Oryzias latipes: one gene and its partners. The protein of the gene in region 4 interacts with the protein of the main gene of each other region in a biochemical or structural test. Links are inferred from orthologs where the notes say so. Each region holds a gene or a part of one and is shown on either strand. Other genes may lie near its edges.

Region 1 (4,142 bases), on a different chromosome or scaffold from region 4:
ATCATTCAATAAGACAGAATTGTTTGCCGTCTCTACTGAGGCGTCTGAAACTCATCTAGAAACGCACACAATGATTCAAAATATAAATAATTTAAATAAAACATTACAATTTTCCAGCTGCAGGTCAGATGCTGATCACCAACGCCCTCCATCTGGATAGTAATATTATTTTTAATTACTGTTCAACTCGAAAGTTTTATTGCAGGACTTTTGAATAACAGATTTTTTCAACAAAATGAAGAAAAATAATCAACGTGAAACAGTGTTAACATGAATATAAAGACCGCTTCAAAATGAAGAAGACCTTTGAGTACAAACCTTGACCTCGTCTGCCCGTCTAAAGCGTTTCATCTGCCGAAGCCTCATGTATTCAGACTTTACCCTCCTCTTCCAGCAGGCAGGACCCTTGTCTGAGCGTTTCCCCGTCCCCATGATCAGCCTGCAGCCACACACAGTCCTGCAACAGTACACACAAAATCTGTGTAGATTTAATCCCATCAGCTTTTCAGGCAGGAAGGGTCAAAGTCAAATAGCGAGGTGACGTTCGCTAAAATTCTTGCGAGTTTCAGCTTTGTCTGATTCTTTTCGTCCCAACTGTAATCCTGAGAATAAAAAATAAAACTAGTCTATTCCAGCTCATAGGATTTCACTCAAAGAAGATAAAAGGCTTATTTACAAGTTTTCTAAATGTTTATTCTCTGCTTACTGTTTCTTAATAAGGAAGATCTACAAGACAGAGGTGTAAATTAAATGTTTTTAACTCGTCAAAATAATGTTTATGGTGATTTTCATGGTTTTCTCTTTATCTTGTCTTAACATTTGCATAGAGATCAATCTGCCGCCCCTGCAGTTACTGCCAGATCGGTGAATCAGATTCAAACCTCACACTAGAGCTCGGATGTGTCAGACACCTGTCATCAAACAGCAGCGCCATGACACGTTGGCATAACTGAAATAAAAAGACTTGCACTTTCTGATCAAAAGGAAAAGGCGAAAACCTGGAAATAAAACAATAAACCTGGTATTCACCAACACTTTATCCAAACAAAAAGGCAGATTTTTAAGTCCCACTTTAAAAAAAAAGGCCTTTTATTGTTTTGATGGATTGTCAAAGCCTTTCCAGTGGTCTTTTAGTCATGAATATGATGGGTTATTTTCATTTTTTTTTGCCAAAATCAAAATGCCCGAGTCATTTTCTAGGACAGTTTCTGCAGAGCGGCAGTTTTTTTTTAGAAATTCAGCTCTTAAGTTGTGGCCGGGACTGTTGGTGTGGAATAAGCCTTCCCATCATCCATCTGTTTACTGTCGCCTGTTAGCTTACAGCCCCTCATAACCCCAAACTAACATTACCGGTGCAACAAAAATGGCAAGCAACATTGGAGCTATCCAGCTGTACAGCTTAGATCCAGATGTCAGCCCAGACGAGGAAAACAAAGACGTTCATGGATCTATCTATCTGACGGTGGATGCATCAGAATGGAGCGGAGCAGGAAGCCTTTGGCCTGCCTACTGTAGCACCTATGTCACACCTACAAGCTTTTTCCAATGACATTTCTCATCGGCACCTGATACACAACTATTTAAATGAAGAAACACTCAGAAGTGCAGTTTTATGGTTAATTGTGTTTAAATTATCCTCCTTCGTGAGGAAAATGCAACAAGAACATGTTCAAAGCACCAAAAACACCTTTTTCAATGGAGTGGGTGTTTCAAATGATCAAAGGTTTAATCAACAATTTCACAAAACTGAACTTTAAACTTGAAAGGTTGTGAGGTGTGTGTGGTCTGTGTTCTTTTTATTCATTGTCGGTGCACAGACTAGGTGATCACACAACATCCTCTACAGCTTTTCATGACTTCCTGAAGACAATCCTCATCTTCATAAAATGAGATGAGTATCGCCACCACCAGGAAGAATTACACAAACTGGTTGTCAAATTATAGAAATGTTCGTGCATCCTTTCGAGCAGGTGTTTGTCCACATTTTCATTGTGTCGCTGAAGTGTGTAACCCTGTCCTCTGTACAAAAGAAACTTGCTAAACGACTCAAGTGGTTCTTGAAACACATTTATCAGCCGGCTTTCGGTTTAGCTCCGTAAAACGTGCTTCTCTGCCCGCACAGCTCGGTAACTCAAGTTAAAAATAGACATGTTTCCCTACATTTGAACACTCATCAATTCAGAACACCGGGAGCAAATGTTTCAGCACTTTTCTTCATCAGAAATGACAAAACTGATGTAAGTGGAGCTGTCTATTCTTTGACAGCCATACAAAATGTGGCACGACAGCCTGGCGAGCTCAGCTAGCGAGTCGGGTGGTTAACAAAGAGACGGGGAGATCCACAAACCGAGAACAAACTCGGCCGATCTAGGGAAGGGCTGTATTTCGACACAGTGACAACCGCCCTCACCTGTACAGGAGGCTCAGTCCTCATTCAACGGAGAGATTCGGAATGGCAACGGTAGAGATACGCAAAGTCGTCCTTTGTGTTGGAGATTAGCCGCTCCGTGTCACTGCTAGCTGTAATGTTAGCTTGTAGGCTAACTAGCGGTTAGCTAGGCGGGACGGAGCGGTTTACTTAGCGCCAGAACCGGCTTCACGTCACCGAATTTGGTAAAAACAACGTTTACTTTACGTTTGAATCTAAATTAAATATTCCGTTTTTATATATTTTTTTTTTCATTTGAGTTTCCAGCAGTTACATTATCTGTCTCCTGACAACAACGATGTTATTTTTATATTTCCGCCTGCACTCAAACACGGTTCAAACTGCTCCCTGTCTGTCTCTCTTTCCGCCCGCTTTGCTTGCATCGATTCAAGAGGCGCCAACCCTTTGCACCAATCAAAGAAGTCTATCCTAGACGTTTCAGTGTCTCCTTTTACGATAGGTCAGCTGGCCCGACACTGATAACCAATAAGAATCAGAGAATCGCTGGGGCCCTGCGGTGGGGACATGTGCGCCGGTTTTCTTTGTTCTCCAAATTGTTGACGAAATAAAATATAAAACAACAGTTACATAAAGCACAAACGTTTAGCACAAACAGCACAACAGATTTATAATACAAGTTTTCAATAAAACATTTGTATAATAAATATTATTGATTAATCATTTAACATTTAAATTAATTTAGGAGCAATCCTAAAATAATATGAAATTGTTTATGCTGTTTTCATGTCCAAAAGTATGAAAAATATTTTTTTCAGTCATTTTCAATTTTTTTTCCTTCATGTCTTAATTGGTTAACTTCAGAATTCTCTTTGTGAGTTTGCAAAATTTGTAACAAAAAAGTTAAAAAACATTTGATAAATATTTTTTTTACATATTTAACAAAAAATATATTTTGTTACTTTTTGAGTGTGTGCGTGCGTGTGTCTGTATGTGTGTATGTCTCTACGACGGTGATTGGTTACCTGTCTTGTTGCGTCATCACTTCGGGTGATATCCATAAAATTGGGGAGGGGGGATTTTTAGAATTTTTGTTTGTTTGTTTATATAGAAAACTTAATGGTGACGATTTAATGGGCCTTATATAAAACACCACTTTCAATAAAAAATATACTACAGACTAATTTAGAAGGCAATTTGATGTTCATCCAGTCAGTTAAAAAAAGCTTTCCCGAACAACCTTTTTTGGACATGGTTCATTCCTTCTTCGTTCGAACCTGGAAGCGGGAGGACGTCGCTTTGCTTTAGTTGATATTAATGAATGGTAGAAAAGTGAAGTGGCTGAACAGCTATAAATGTGCTAAAATAAGTTAGCGGGATTTGTTTGTTTGTTTTTTTCAAATCACAGCAAGAAAATTGGTTGTCCCGCGACTAGTGTTTGCCGTTGAGCTAACTTGCTAGCGGGCGTTAGCACTTGTCATAACAGTCCCCCAAGATGGACACAACGACGTGTTTGAAGTCTCTGCTGCTGGCTATCCAGCAGTACAGAGACGGCAGGACGGCGCAGCAAGCAGCACAGCTTCAAAAACAGGTGGAGGTGAGCACCAGCGGTCAGACGTAGTCTTTGTCACTGCTCGTGTGAGACGTCATCTGTACTCTGTCACTGTGAGGAACAACAAACGCAGAACTCTGCAGCAAAACTCACCTTTATTTTGTCTTGGCACAAATGTTTGGTTCGTGTTTTTGTCAGAAACCC
Region 2 (4,096 bases), on a different chromosome or scaffold from region 4:
CGATTTTCTCTTTACTGGATTCAACGAGAAAACCTCGAAACTCTCTGGGTCGCACGCATCAACATTCAGTTCCTCATTCTCAGAGGTTTTCACTTGAGATGAGAACTGCAGAAGTAAAAGTTTCAATTACTTACGGTGTTCTGCGGTTTGCCGAGCGCCATGTGTGCTTGGACAACTTCCAGCATGTGTGAGGTGATTTCATTCATGTCCTCCAGGGGTCTGATACAGAACGCCACCATAGACCTGTGGTTCTGACACAGGAAGGCAAACACACATTTTCTGCTAAATTCAAAAATGAGTAACTGAAACAGCAGCAATGAACAATCACAAATGACCTTAAGACAGGTTATAGGTGTTTAAAAAAGCAAATAAAGCTCTTTAACAAGTTTGGAGGCTATAGGTGTTAAACTAAGGAAATGAGGCTCTTTAAAAAAAGTTTGCAGCTGCTGTAAGAACCTACACTTAGCTCAGGAAAGAGGTGACAAAAGCCTAAACCTTCATTTTTTGGGACGAAAGCACCTTTTAGCTAAATAAAGAACTGGCAAATCAGTGACAACCATTTTTTAAGTTAATTCATGCAATAACTGATAAAAGACAAAAGTTTCCAATTTGTGTGGCCCTAAAGCGTGGCCCTTTGTTTACAGTGTTAGGGCCGCATGAAGAAAATAAGATAAAAATAAAAGTTGGCAGGCCCTGTAATACACTTACTTGAAAAGAGCGTAGGTTTCCAGAGACTTTGACATATGTTCCTGGAGGCAAAACAGTGCTGTCCACACTCGGATCCTACAAAATAAAACCCAATCAGAGAAATTATTTTCTAGAAACCGGAAGTTAACTGAAATAAATGTTAAAATATATATTTTAATGAAACCAGCAATGACAGCATCAACAATGATAATAAAGATGTAGATTTGATCAAATGTTGTTTATAAACAACAATGGTCTGCAGACTGTGTCTCTTATGAATCATATTTAGCAAGGGGTTGTCACCAACTGACCTCTGTATCCACCCACTGCTTCACATCCATAGGAGCACCTGTCATGTCATCAACCCTGTACTGGATGTAGGTCATGGATTTGTCCGTGCTTCTGATGATGCCAACAATGGTGACCTATGACAGAGATGTGTAAAAAGGCAATAAAAACAATATGAAAGTACATTTTTGTTGTTTTTTGTTTGTTTGTTGCCAAGTGTTATGCATTAGTAAACACTAAATTTAAGACAGAAACCTGTCTTGATTTTTCAAAATAAAGGATCTGGAGTTGGTCTCTCTTGTTCCGAACAGATATTTTACTGCTGCTTCCAAGACTTAAGTTTGGATCAATTATTTAAACACCAGTCGAAAGGAGAAGTTCTACATGTGTGTAGCAGAATACGTTGAAGTTTTACAATCGTGGTTATAAAATATTGTTAAATATTAATTTAAAAAAATTAATTAATAAAAAAAAAAAACATTCTTTAACCCTATGATGCCTGACTTTACTTCTAGCTATGAAATAAATCATTCATGTTTTTGCTTTCATGTAGATGCTAAGTTAAGGTAATTTAAGATGGAAGTACTTTGATGCATATTTGCTCAATAAATGTCAAACAGCTTGCCAAACAAAAGATTACTTGTTCCAGATTTTCTATTTTATTTTATCATTATTATTGTGTTTTTTGTAAAGATCTGCCACATAGCAAAGAAAGGTAAAAGTCCATAACTTACTGATGCTTTTGTTTCCAACAAAAAGCTTACAAATATATTAGGAAAAAAGCTAAATCTATTATTTCCCAATTGATAAGGCATTATTTTTGGACTCATTGATTTTTTTTTTAGCTCCAATTAACTAATTATTACCGTAATTATTGAGACTTTGTTTTACTGTGACTTGGTCCCCTTCCCTTCCATCGTTATTAAATATATACATAGGTCTGTGTTTTTTTTATCTTTTTAAAGAGAGAGAGTAAAATCAAAATTATATGATATCTAATACTTTACAGTAGACATACTCTTTTGCATTTTAGGTTACCTGGTTAACCTCCACTTCTCCCACTTTAAAGGCTTCATCAGCCTGAGATGCAGACATCAACTGAGACACTGTGCAGGGTATAATTTGAGTGGAACGGGTCCTCTGGTGATGAACAAACAGACAGAAGGATTTCAGTTTTTACTAGCGTTACCGTTATGTGCTTAAAACAACACTCAAGCATACAAGACAAGTGCAATAATAATATAAAAACGGTTTATGTTAGGTCAAAGGGACAATGTGGAATTAAAGATGTTCAAGCTTTAATATGGATCACTTTTAACTACCGGTGTAAGTTTTGAAAGGCACCATCACTCTGTCGGCATTGTCATTTCTCACCCCTTTCTTCTCTCCTTGGGACAAGCCAGGCGATGCAAAGCCTCCAGGAGACTGCGTGTAACCCCCAACCATTCCCGACTCACTGTAGCCTCCTAAAGTTTCAACACAGAAATTGAAAGCAAGTGAAGCAAACTCCCTTTTCGGCATATTTACAATGTTAATGGAAGACACATTTGACAACAAACTATTACACTTGTAAGAAATAAACAAAGAAGCCACTTGACTTGAGTGTTAAGTAAAGCTAACGTTAGCTGTACCAAACAACACAAACATGCCAGTGTGAACGATGTAAAGGCAAACAAACAACTTGGATACGACATTTACCTTGATTCCACATGCTGACACTTCGTAAGTAATTCTTAAAATGCAAAGATAATTTAGTGACGGGGTGAAATCGAGCAACCAACTTGCTTAACGACCTGATTCCCGCGCGCCAAACTCAATGTAAGACGCATGCGCGTGGGATAATTCCCGCGAAACGTTTCATCGCGAGAGGTATATAGATAATGTACTGGCCCTGATTTTTGACTGTCAGGCATTTGCCACGGTTTTGGAGTAAACATTCCAATTAATGGGGAATTTCCACCGTTTTTTTCTTAAACTCTAACATTGTTTTTATTTCATAATGATTGTATTATTTTAAAAGATCTAATAATCCTTGTTTACTAAGAAAATCTACACCTGATAGAAATATTTCGGGAAATAACAAGCAAATTATGACGCTATCGCAAAGAGGTGGAACATGATGATCTTTGTTCCTTTCAATTTAAAAAAAAAGGTTTTCTAGTTGTAATGAGCACTGGTGCATGCGTAAATACTATAACTTATCAAAATCTCAAAAATTACAAATATAAAAAAATAAAACGTGAAAGGTATTTTGTGTGTGATCGTATGGTCTAAAATTTGAATTGCTTTTTAAGGTAGCCTTTTGCTTTTGTGTGTCTTTAGTTTAAATAACAACAGTAAAGGTGATAGGATTGTGTAATATTTTTCTCAGCCTCCAAATCCGCAGCTCAATAAACATAGGCTAATCAGTAACACCCTGTATTAGTATGAACTTCTAAACTTTTATTTAATTTGAAGAAAAACAATTTTCTGTTGAAAGCTTTAGTTCTGACTTGCCATGGAGAATCAAATGATAAAAGTGTCATTTTGTAGTTTCTGATGGACAAAGAGAGCTATTTTGTAATGATTTAATCTGTCAAAAGTGCTTCTTATCTTAAGCGTTCTCGTAAAAACTAATAATATTGTGTCATAAAACAAGGTTTAGTTATTATGATCCACACAAGCATGTCAGTGCCTTGGTAAGAAGGTTGTGTTGGCCCGCTCTGCCCTTCCTTTATAGACCCTTGCCTGTCTTTTCCAGCACAGCTGTTCTCAGACACTCAAACATGACAGCAACAAGCTTTTTCTTATCTTGTCTGCTTTTCAAAGGAGCTCTTGCTCTCACTGGTAAGTAGAGCCTTGTGTAACCAGCGTGTTATAGATGATTTTGTGACATTTACTTACTTCGCCTATGTGCTGATCTTTTCCAGGAAGCTTTTGGCATATCACAGATTTGCACTGGGACCCAACTTATGAAGTGACAGATCAACCGGAGCTGGTGTGCGCCTCTAGCGGCAAACGGCCTGCTTTGAGCGCCGGTAGATTTGGAGACTATGTTTGTGACTCACCATGGCACCTGATCAATTCCTCTGTGTATGCCATGAAGAGCATTCTTCCAGACCCAGACTTCATCATCTGGACA
Region 3 (3,265 bases), on a different chromosome or scaffold from region 4:
TGCAAAAAGCCTTCCTCCTCCTCCTCACTCGTTCACTAACTCATCCTTTCATCCTCACTCTCTCTGCCACCCAGTCATCACGCGCCAACAAAGCAAAGCGCGCTCACTTTGAGAGAAAAGCATGTTTACCTTCGCACGTGCAACAACTTTGGCATTAATCTGTAGCTGCAATCTGCAACTGCTTTGAGAATGAACGTGGATTCATTTCTCTGAATACTTTACAGCTGAGAAGTGTCCTCCAACACCCCCCTCCCTCCCTACGTGGCACTGATGGGGTGTTAAAGCATTCAATTGGGTTAATCAACCTAAATAATGCCAATTAACTCGGATGACCACGATGGAGAAGAGGAGAAAGCTACTAACTCCAACTGCCCTGACTTTCTCCTTAGAATCAAAATGGCGTTGCAGGGAGGGACAACAGAGCAGACACAAAAATAAGAAATAATCTAATACAATCTACATAAAGTTAGTGTTTTGGGGGCATATTTTCTTGCATTAATGTAGGAAAAGCTAAATGTTTTCTTATTAGGAATACGCAAACGCCAGCTGTTGACTGGGATCTGATGCGCCAGGTCCTGAACAAAAGAAAGCCACCTCTGCTCCTTAGAATAACAGCGCGTGCGTTCGGCTGCAGACCCCACCGAGGCTGGACTCAAAGCAGACCCTTCACTTATCTTTGACCCCAATTCAGAACAATGTGATCAATTTAACGACCCGTCATCAGATTCCTTCAGCTCTGGAGGTGTTGGCAACTTTCCTGACAACAATGGAGCTCGAGAGGCGACTGCCATAGTGATAGTTATAAGCAATTCGGCACTAAAATAAGCAAACCCAGAAAACCCAACCCGCGTTTTACCTCCTAAACTAACCCGCGTGACAGCCCCAACAGTCACCTGCGACTTGCATGTTGTGACATTTAATTTATAGGAGGTTTAACAGTAAATAATCTCGACCACGTCACTCGAAGTCAATGGCCGGACTGTGTTAGTTGGGAAAATGTAACGCTGTATTAAAAGGAAAAACGGACTCTCACGCGGACCAAACCGCGCGCATCAGTGGGAATAAAGATTCAATTTCCATGTGCATTGAACATCCCCCCCTCAGGTTCCGTCCGTTTGGGTCAATTTGACGCGAATCAGGCAAAATTGTCGGCAGCACGCGCTACTTGGGGCTGGTTTTCCCGGAATAAAAGTTGTTCTGCGGCTCTAGTGCGGGGAAACAAGTTAGTGCGCGTGAAGCCCAATGTCTCCGCCGCGTGCCCGTGCGGTTCTGTGGATCAGAACTCCTCCGGGGTTTGTACATTTGACGGGAGTTGGAGGATGAAGAAACACAAACAAGACTGCGCCAGTTCCATGGAGTCCGCTAGATCAGCTGCTGGCAGTTGGTGTTCTCAATCACGTCCGCAGCGAGGCTTCATATTCTCTCTGGAGCGCCGGTGGAACAAGAGACTTTAGAGAAACGGGCTGAAGGGGTGTGCCTCTCTACAACTATATCTATTTTTTGCTACCTAAACCTAAAATAATTGAACGCCTGGCACTTTCCACAACTTTGTTTTAACCGAAAATTTCATTTTTTTTTATTTGAAATATTTTTGTCGCTCTTTTCCAACCGGGTTAAATCCCACCTTGTGGACTTTTTTTGTGTGATTTAACTTAAAGGATAAACACAATGGCGGAGACGTCAAGTGCTCCATCTAAAGCCAAAAAGACAGCCAAGGCTAAAAAGCCCGCTTCTCATCCCAAATACTCGGACATGATCAAAGCGGCTATTGTCCACGACGCGAGCCGGAGCGGAGCGTCCCGCCAGTCCATCCAGAAGTACGTGAGGAAGAACTACAAAGTGGGCGACAACGCCGACGTCCAGATCAAAATGGCCCTAAAACGGCTGGTGGCTTCTGGGATGCTGCGCCACACCAAAGGTATCGGAGCGTCCGGCTCCTTCCGGCTGACCAAACCGGAGGACGCCAAAAAGTCCAGCAGCAAGGCAGCTGCGCCCGCCAAACCCAAGAAAGTAGCAAAACCCAAGGCGGCCAAGAAGGCGGCCAAGCCCAAGAAGGTGTCCAAGACCCCGGAGAAGCCCAAGAAGGCACCTGCGAAGAAAGTCAAAAAGGTTGCCAAGAAGGCGTCTCCGGTGAAAGCGAAGAAAGCTCCGGCGAAGAAGCCCAAGGCAGCCAAAGCCAAGGCAAAGCCAGCGAAGAAAGCAGCCAAACCCAAGGCAAAGACACCCAAGAAGGCAGCAAAGACGTCCAAAAAGAAGTAGACGGACAATACAGCCGGCGATGTAAATATTTAAGGAAATGTTTTCGTAAATGTCTTATTTTTGTAAGGTTTCATTCAGACACAAGGTGTTTTTAACCTGTTTTTATTATAGCATTCAGAAGCTGTAGAAATTGTGAGCATTTCTATTTTTTATTTGAACATCGTCCATTTCCGCCTGATCCTTAAACTATTTCCACGGGGGGTCTTGCTGAAATCACGCGTTTGTACAGCTGAGGTAATGACTGTTGTCAGTATACTTTAACAAAAAAACTTAATGTTTTAACGGTGACAAGGTGAAGATGAGTTCCATGAAGGCACCACAGCTCTTATTTTACCCAGTTATATTTGTCTTGAAGAATCATATTGTGTTTAGCGACAGACTGTTCATAAACGCATCCAATAAACCTTTGTCACATTTTGAAAGTGCTTTAACTTATTGTGCACTTAAAAACACTGTATATACAAAGGGAAAATAAAAGTGACTCTTCAAACATTCAACTAAAGTGATGCGTTCACGTGCCACCAAAAGATTTTGTTGACTTTAGTGTCGTTTTCGACACACCCATGGGTCTGCCCTCCTCAACCGGCGAACACTGCCATCTTGTGGTAAGTTGGAGCAACAGCAAGATCGTCGTTAATGTGGAGTAACATAGTAAAAACACAAACATTCCTATTATTTAGGGTACATATGAACCAGCCCTATTAAATAAGGAATGGTTAAGCTCATCCAAACAGGATTCTTGCAGTTTTAGATGCCACTAATACATTTTTAAACAAATATTCAGGATAAATGTGATCACAGATTAATTACCAATAAAAAGATTTCTCTGCCTTTAACATCAAATACTAGACATATGTTTCAAATTAACTGTTTAGTCACAAACATGTAAATCATAGAATTCATTTTATTTTGCTCTGGTGTAGTCTTTTATTAAGCATCTGGTCACTTTCATTGAGAAAAGTTTTTAAAAGGTCTCACAGAGAATTTCTTTTTACACAAACATGAG
Region 4 (4,289 bases):
ACACTTGATGAAAACCTTTATTCACACATTTTTCTGGAAAATATTTCCAACACAAACACACAAGTATTTACAGAAGAACGGGGGGGCTCAGGCCTTCAGACGCCGTTGATGCAGGCGGCGGGCAGCGTGGACTTGTCCAGGTCATCAAAGTATGGGTGGGTCATGGCCTCACGTGCAGAGATCCTCTTGGGAGGATTGTAGATCAACATTTTCTAAAAACACAAGGAGGGTTACTGAGGAGGAACTGGATGTTCAAAAGTAAAGGTCTGGTTTTGAAGGGTTCTGCTGACCCCCGGTGGTGGTGGAGGGTGTTCTGAGATCATTAAAGAATAAAAAGACTGAAATGTTCCTTAGTTTGGTGCTTTTCTTTGGAGCCCCCGAAGAGATTGCAGCTGACCCCACCCCATGAGAAATGTCCACTTGATCTACTTTATTCATAATCTGAAGAACTTCTCACCGCCAGCAGGTCCAGGCCGTTCTTGTCCAGGTTCTTCACCATGGAGGACAGGCTGCCCTCCTTCCATTTGGGGAAAGTGTTTTTGTAGTCAGGCAGGCTCTCCACATCCGGCCAAACGTCATTGTTGGGGGTCCCCAGAGTCCTGCAGACGGACAATAGAGCCCCTTTACTCTTCAAGACCTGATTTCTCCTTGTAGAATCAGTGTGTGTGTGTGTGTGCGCTGAAAGAAGCTGAATAGTTCTCCCACACGGTACCTAAAGATCCTGAAGAGCTGGTCGATCTCGGAGTCTCCGTGGAACAGGGGCTTCTTGGTGGCGAGTTCAGCAAAGATGGTACCCGTGCTCCACACGTCCACTGGGGTTGAATATCGGGGGGAACCCAGAAGGACCTCAGGAGCTCGATACCACAGAGTCACAACCTGAGAACGAGAAGCTTGGATCAGCTGAGCAGACCTCAGCGTTGGGTTCTGCAGCGGAGCGGTTCCCACCTCGTGGGTGTAGACCCGGACGGGAACACCGAAGGCCCGGGCCAAGCCAAAGTCTGCCAGTTTGATGACGCCCTTGTTATCAATCAGAAGGTTCTGGGGCTTCAGGTCGCGGTGGAGGACCCGCCTTCGGTGACAGAAGTAAATGCCCTCAAGGATCTGATAGAGGTAGCTCTGTAGGGGGGGGCAGAAAAGGGAACAGGCTCAAAGTGGTAGACTGCTAGTTCCACACCAGAACATCCTCACAGACAAGCAGCACAAAGCATCATGGCTGCCTCAGAAGAACTGATGAAGATCTGTGATGTTTGGAGCTGCAGTCCGTGGTTAGTGAGGAACCTGGTGTGTTATCATTCAGAGACCCCCCTCCCCCAGCTGAAACCGGGATGTTCAGCTTAATAGAAAGCGTTTGTCACAACAAAGAGTAGGAAATCTAAAAACGAAGCGCTGAGTGTTTTACCTTGACCAGCATGGGGTCCATGTACTGTCCTGACGGGATGCTATCCAGGTACTTCTTCAGGTCCATGGACAGGAACTCAAAGATCAGGTAGAGGCGAGATTCCTGCATCAGGACATCCAAGAGCCTTTCAGGTGAACACAAAGGTGGAACCATTATTGCACCTCCAAGATCAGCGGAGGGAGTTGAGGGATTCGGCATTAACGCTACTCTGAACATCCCTACAGAAGGACTAAAGAGTTAAAAACCCAAGCAGGACCCCTCTGGAAAGAACATGGAAGCAAGTGGAGGCCTCCCATTACACGTGTGCACGTGTTCAGGTCAGAGTTCATGATCCAACAGTCAGAAAGGGACTTCTGAACAATCATGGATCCACAGGAGAGTTCAAGGAGAAAGAAGTGCTGAACAAGAACAAACATCTGGATTATCCCCAAACGTTCAGATGAGACAAGAGGGACTAAAACCCAGCACCTTTGACCCGGACATCACCTCACTGCATTTTACCTGCAGCGCATGGACATTAATGTCAGGAACCTGTTCAGCGCACACGTGCAGCATACCGGACGACGTTGGGGTGCTTCAGCTCCTGAAGCAGCGACACCTCCCTGACAGCGGTGCTGGGAACTCCCTCCTCCTCACTCTCCAGGCGGATCTTCTTCATGGCCACCACCTGTCCCGTGGACTTGTGCCGGCCTTTGTACACCACCCCGTATGTCCCTGCAGACACCAGAGCAGAGTCAGGGGATGAGGACTCAGACGTCCCAGAACCACTGCAGTCACCCCATCACTCAGATTGTGGTGCAGGGGACCATGATCAGAATGAAGAGCCAGGATCTGAACCAAAGCAAAGCTTGAGACGTCATCCTGGGACATCTCCATATACGGGTGGAGGAACTTTCAAGGACTTCCAAGTTCAGCATCCAGGTGGGCCTCTTTGGTGGGTTTCACCCCCCAAAAAAATCTGGACAACATTTTAGAAAAACAAAAACATTTTTACTCCACCAACCTTCTCCGATTTTCTCTATTTTCACGTAGTCCTCCATCTGTCCCTGAAAGAGAAGACAAATCCTCTCAGCTCGGACTTCTGCAGATGTTCAGACTCCAAACGGTCAGATCCTCCGTTGAGAACCGCTGAACGTTCAGGCCTGAAAACCGTAAAACGAGCAGCTCGACGTTACAGAGACAGAATAAAAACAGTAGGAATCGAACCAACCCCACCGACTTTCACCGGCCAGCTGAGGCCTCTCCAAATCTGAAAACCAGGTTGGGGGAAAACCGAACCGAGCCGTTACCGGAAGGCGCGTGTCCGTCCGCCAACGCGCCTCTCCTCATATCAAAGCGGTACCATTTCATGTCGTGATCTACCGGTTGAAGCCGTTAACGGTTGCCGCTTCTTACCTCCGTGCTGTCGCTGCTCACGCTGCGGATACAAAGCTGACACTCTTTAAAATTGAGCGCAGGACTCGGCTTCAAAACGCACCAATCAGCGCGCTCGACGCTGTTCAAAACAGCTAATCAACGAGCGGGAACGTAGCTGGACGCGCTGACGTCATACAGGTCTCCTGTCTGCGTGCCTGAACGAAAACACATTCTGGATCAGTCTTCCTGTCTCCCCACTAAAGTTTTTTTCCTTTCTCGTTCGTTGGTTTTTAGATTTAGTGCTTGCAGCTTTTTTCGTTTCTGAAACCGTCCCTTTGTTGACTTCCATATTTCAATCTTTCTTTTTTTCCTTTTAAAACCTTTCTTTTTAAATTTTAATTTTTTCCGCTTTTAATAGTTTTTAAAGAATTTTACTTCCTTTTTGTTTTGTATTAAACATTTTTATCTTCACCGTCGTTTTAGTCTTAATCGTTTCCCTGGAAAGCTGTCTCTCGTTGTTACACTCGTCTTCATCCTCTGTTGTTGCTGTTCACCATATCCCTTCAGCTTTCACTGATCTGCAGTCGGTTTGGCAGAGATATGTACACTGAATGGCCTTCCTGACACAATCCTGTATTTACTTTAGGCCGGGACCGACACTTTCTGGCTACATAGTTAGGCAGGAGCCTAACACTGGATGAAGCTCATTGCACCCCATGGGAATCAAACCCGGGTTTCTCATGCACCAGGCCTACATGCAGCCAATGTAGTCATCCAGCTGCTCTTCTGGCCATACTCTGGACTTTGCTTTTTCTCAAAAACTCTCAATTTTTTAAAATGATTTTATTCTTATAACTTAGCAAGAAAATGTGTTTATTTTTTAAATAAATAACATTGAGTTTTCTTTCTAAAACTATTAGAAAGGACACAATAGGTTAAAGAAAACATTATAGATAATGTGCCACCTGGGGCCTGTTTCAGAAAGGAGGTTAAGTGTAAACTCTGAGTGCGTTAACCCTGAAATCAGGGAAACCCTGGGTTTTCTGTTTCAGAATGGGAGGTTTGTTAAACCAGAGAAAGCAGAGTAAGTCAAACCCGTTTCTGAAAGAGAGGTAACTTATACTCTGAGTCAGTGTCCATGGTTACTTACGCTGTGAACCTAACCTGGTGGGGAGCAGGTTTTATTCTCTAAACTCAAGGTTTCTGCCGGTCCCCTCCCCTTTTTAAAGACGAAGCGATATTTTTCGCTTTAACCTTCATTGCCCAAATGTCCGTCACACAGAGACAAGTGACAAGAATGGCTTGTCCTTTTTTGGAGGACCCAATAGACGAGGAGGCTGCATTAATTCGTAGAGAATTACATTTACCTCGTACGAGGATTTTGAGACCTAGACTCGATTTTTTGTCATTTCCCCATACGTTTTTGTTTGAGCGTTACCGTTTTTCATTGCAGTCAATTACATATATACAATGAAAACAACATTAGATATTGCTATGTAGATGTTTCATATGTCAAATATTGTCAACAAAGCCT
Region 5 (3,268 bases), on a different chromosome or scaffold from region 4:
ATAATAAAACCCCTACATGTTTCTTTTTGTTAATTTTTACAATCATTTTTGGAATTACATGCTTTCAAATTGATTTTTTTTTTTTTTTAATTTTAGTAAGAACACATCTTTTTGTGAGTGTTAGAGATGCTATTGGGTAAGACATCCGTCCATGGGGCCCTAATACGTTTCCCTAACAAAGTTAATTCAAGCAACACCCCTGAAAACGAGTACAAAATTCAAAATGTTTCTCTAGTGTTCAGTTTCAGGAAATGTTTATCTTTAAATGCTAAAAGTGTATTTTGCTCTCATGCATGGTTACCCTGCTCCGTAGGTAGTCTGCCAAGTTCTTCCGTGTGAAGTTTGCTGCTGCAGATGGACTCAGTTCGTAACCTTTAGGGGAGAAAAAGTTTCATCAATGACTTGTTCTGATCCCCTGATGAACCACAGACAGCTGCTCTGTGTAGTTTCCATCCTACCGTTCCTCATTTTGTAGAGCTGGACATTCTTCTGGATGTACTCAGCAAACTGCACCGTGTCTCCTGCTTCTCCCACGCACAACAGCAGGATCTTCTCGCTCAGTTTGAACATTTTATCATAATCTGGTGGATCAAAAAAAAAAACACCTTAGAACTTTCACTTTCACAGTTAGCCTGCATGAGGCTGCATAATCTGCTAATTTTAGAACAAAACCAATTATACAGAAAAACACCAAAAACTCAAATCGGGAGCAAAACTGCACCGATTTTTAAGCAAATATCCGCAAAAATAATTTAAATCGAACGCAGATTAGTTTCATTGGTTCGATTATTTGATATAGTGTGGCCAAGTATAAGAAACCAACAACAAATTAACTGTAAATTCGGAAATAAAAGCTTGATTTAACCAGATAAAATCTCAAAACGCTTTGAACTTTACCCCCCTAAATCTAAAATAAAAATCGGCGGAGCGGCTAATGCTACAGCTAACGACGAGCTACTTTACCGTGTTTCATTTGGATTATGCTGCTGGCGGCCACATTATCGGCGGCGACGAGAACAAAATCTGGTCCCTGGATTCCGATTAAATATTCCATCGTGAAAAACGCGAATAAACAAAAAAATGTAAGAATAATTCGAGGAAGCAGCCGCGGACAGCCGGGTCTGCTCAGAATATTACACAGCAAAAGTTCAGCTAGCTGCCTGTCGCATACTGGTGACGTCAAACCGCGCGACTTGGGCGGGCGATTTGAAACGCGGGAGTGTTTTTGTTGTGTGTCACCGAGCGGAGGGCGTCCGTCATCGGGGGAATTTTGAGGTTACAGCCAAGCTGTGTTGACCATGAAGGAAGGGGAGACTCACAGCGTGATGGTGGAGTCCAACCGACACATAGACCCGCCGCGGAGGCGTTCGCCGCGGCTAAGTTCTACCCTGCAACCGCCGGGGAAGATTGACACAAACATGGCCGCGCTGGAGGCCGTCCCGGTGAAACGGTCCATCACTCTAAGGAAAATAGCTCCGAGAAAAACCGTTACCTCCGCGGAGCAGGACAAGGAGAACACACCACGGCGAACGAGCAACAGACTAGGGCAGAAAAAAGAGGTGTCCACTCCTGACTTGGTCCCAGACCGCAGGGCCTCCGCCATCTCTTCGGCTAAGAAGAAGAAACAGGCCTCGATGCCGTCCCCGATCTTGCCTTCCTCCCCGCCGACCTCAAACCCCGCAGAAAAGCCGCCAGCGACCCCGGAGGACGCAGAATGGGCGCGAAAGGTGCGCCGCTCCTACAGCAGACTGAGCGACAAGTCCCTCCACAGCCCGGACTCTCGCGATACTTTGTTCGGCTTCCAGCATCTGCAGACACCGGAGGTGAACCGGGCGGCAGGGCAGTCCAGGAGCGCTCTGGAGCTTTCCTCCATTTCTGCCCTGAACTCTTTCACGTCTCTGCTCGATACCGACGCCGGCGGTGCGGCCGAACCGGACCCGAACATCCCTGGAGTGGCTGTGGTGAAGGAGAGGAAGAGGAGGCGGAAGAAGGTGGCGCCGATCGACGGCGTGGAGCTGGACGTTCTGGTCGCCCAGATGAACGCGGAGTTCCAGGAGGCGGAGGAGTTTGAGCTGGTGGTGGAGTAGAAACTGGCTCTACTCAAGCCCAGGGGAAGCTTCTCAAGGACTGTGATAAAAATAATTCAAGAAAATGTTAAAAATGTCCAGATATTTTTATTCCTTCACTTGGTGTGAAATAGTTTTTAAATACATTTTCAGTATCACATTTGCTAGTCGTTTGTAACTTCAGTTTTTTTGGTTTATTTAAACCGGACTTTATCCTTTGGCAGAATTTAAGTGCTAAAACCGTTTACTGAGGAGCATTTCCCCAAGAATTACGTTTGGAGCTAAAAGGCTTTTATTCTGAAATGAAGCTTGAAAGCTTTTATGCAAAAGTCTGGAGATAAAAAGCTTTGAGTCGTAAAATTGGTGCTGAACAGCTCTTACTTTGAAGTTTGAAGATAAAAAGCTTTTATTCTGACGATTGGACTTTAGAAACATTTATCCTAAAGGTTTTGACTGGAGACGCTTTTATTCTGCAGTTTGGATTCTCTTTTTTTTTTAACTTTCCCAAATGTTTTTAGAGAAAAATAAAGTACATGGCATCTGTAACCAGCACTTTTTCCTCTTTAATTTTGTTTTTTCTTTCTAGTTTAAGAGAAATCCATTTAAGGTTGTTTATATCTTATATGTGTCTTTTAAATACATTTCTTCTGTTCTGTGTATTTGAATAAAAGCAAACATCTTTTTTTAAACATACACTTTATTTTGTTTACCCTTATTTGTACAGTTAAAGAGTTTTAAATTATATTAAACAACAATTTTTTAGAACTTTGCAGTGAAATATCAACTAGCTGCAGAAGGAGATGACACAGGAAATATGAACAAATAAACTATAACATAGCTAAAGAATTCAACTGAAAAGCCTTGAATGGCCTTTCATCAGATCCTGTCTCAAACTGTTTTTGTGAAGCTCTGAAATTGATCAGTACTGTAAATATCCTACTCTATGTTTAATTTAACCTTATGGCAATCAGAGCGAGCATGAAAACCCGTTTTCTAACTGTACATATGACAAAAAAAAAACTTTGAATCCTTTCAATTAAAAAAACTGAGGGTGAAAGGTCAAAAGCAACTGTAACCCTATAACCAATCAAAATCGTTTTTTTGCATAATATCCAACTAAATTATACAGTTTTGCTTATAGCAGCAAAAGTCTAGAATCAGGACTTTTATTTCAAGCGAAAAAATAAAACCAAATGCATCAA

Evidence for each region. The genes of interacting proteins can lie anywhere in the genome.
Region 1: of the proteins of cdk1 (region 4) and ezh2, one has a biochemical effect on the other in vitro, tested with the Homo sapiens proteins (5 studies listed by BioGRID). The link is inferred for Oryzias latipes from reciprocal best matches to the Homo sapiens genes CDK1 and EZH2.
Region 2: of the proteins of cdk1 (region 4) and rpa2, one has a biochemical effect on the other in vitro, tested with the Homo sapiens proteins (2 studies listed by BioGRID). The link is inferred for Oryzias latipes from reciprocal best matches to the Homo sapiens genes CDK1 and RPA2.
Region 3: of the proteins of cdk1 (region 4) and histone H1.0-B, one has a biochemical effect on the other in vitro, tested with the Homo sapiens proteins (3 studies listed by BioGRID). The link is inferred for Oryzias latipes from reciprocal best matches to the Homo sapiens genes CDK1 and H1-0.
Region 5: of the proteins of cdk1 (region 4) and cdca5, one has a biochemical effect on the other in vitro, tested with the Homo sapiens proteins (2 studies listed by BioGRID). The link is inferred for Oryzias latipes from reciprocal best matches to the Homo sapiens genes CDK1 and CDCA5.

Annotation. Positions count from the first base shown.
Region 1 is NC_019878.2:3,254,711-3,258,852, forward strand, and holds the start of ezh2 (histone-lysine N-methyltransferase EZH2), read right to left. Parts: upstream 2,810-4,142; 5' UTR 2,411-2,809; intron 458-2,410; 5' UTR 433-457; coding exon 319-432; intron 153-318; coding exon 108-152; intron 1-107. Other genes in the region: protein CIP2A, read left to right, coding at 3,882-3,983. UniProt on the Homo sapiens protein: Polycomb group (PcG) protein. Catalytic subunit of the PRC2/EED-EZH2 complex, which methylates 'Lys-9' (H3K9me) and 'Lys-27' (H3K27me) of histone H3, leading to transcriptional repression of the affected target gene.
Region 2 is NC_019874.2:22,815,086-22,819,181, forward strand, and holds the start of rpa2 (replication protein A 32 kDa subunit), read right to left. Parts: upstream 2,810-4,096; 5' UTR 2,687-2,809; coding exon 2,674-2,686; intron 2,442-2,673; coding exon 2,350-2,441; intron 2,116-2,349; coding exon 2,014-2,115; intron 1,113-2,013; coding exon 999-1,112; intron 784-998; coding exon 709-783; intron 252-708; coding exon 135-251; intron 1-134. Other genes in the region: smpdl3b (acid sphingomyelinase-like phosphodiesterase 3b), read left to right, coding at 3,741-3,801, 3,885-4,096. UniProt on the Homo sapiens protein: As part of the heterotrimeric replication protein A complex (RPA/RP-A), binds and stabilizes single-stranded DNA intermediates that form during DNA replication or upon DNA stress.
Region 3 is NC_019877.2:9,185,240-9,188,504, reverse strand, and holds histone H1.0-B, read left to right. Parts: upstream 1-1,426; 5' UTR 1,427-1,668; coding exon 1,669-2,259; 3' UTR 2,260-2,756; downstream 2,757-3,265. UniProt on the Homo sapiens protein: Histones H1 are necessary for the condensation of nucleosome chains into higher-order structures. The histones H1.0 are found in cells that are in terminal stages of differentiation or that have low rates of cell division.
Region 4 is NC_019873.2:1,586,358-1,590,646, reverse strand, and holds the start of cdk1 (cyclin-dependent kinase 1), read right to left. Parts: upstream 2,803-4,289; 5' UTR 2,795-2,802; intron 2,755-2,794; exon of another isoform or gene 2,610-2,754; intron 2,446-2,609; 5' UTR 2,440-2,445; coding exon 2,403-2,439; intron 2,114-2,402; coding exon 1,957-2,113; intron 1,524-1,956; coding exon 1,400-1,523; intron 1,117-1,399; coding exon 946-1,116; intron 877-945; coding exon 713-876; intron 600-712; coding exon 458-599; intron 354-457; exon of another isoform or gene 213-353; coding exon 96-212; 3' UTR 1-95. UniProt on the Homo sapiens protein: Plays a key role in the control of the eukaryotic cell cycle by modulating the centrosome cycle as well as mitotic onset; promotes G2-M transition via association with multiple interphase cyclins.
Region 5 is NC_019869.2:20,009,699-20,012,966, forward strand, and holds cdca5 (sororin), read left to right. Parts: upstream 1-1,179; 5' UTR 1,180-1,298; coding exon 1,299-2,087; 3' UTR 2,088-2,759; downstream 2,760-3,268. Other genes in the region: psmb2 (proteasome subunit beta type-2), read right to left, coding at 302-372, 459-581, 964-1,054. UniProt on the Homo sapiens protein: Regulator of sister chromatid cohesion in mitosis stabilizing cohesin complex association with chromatin. May antagonize the action of WAPL which stimulates cohesin dissociation from chromatin.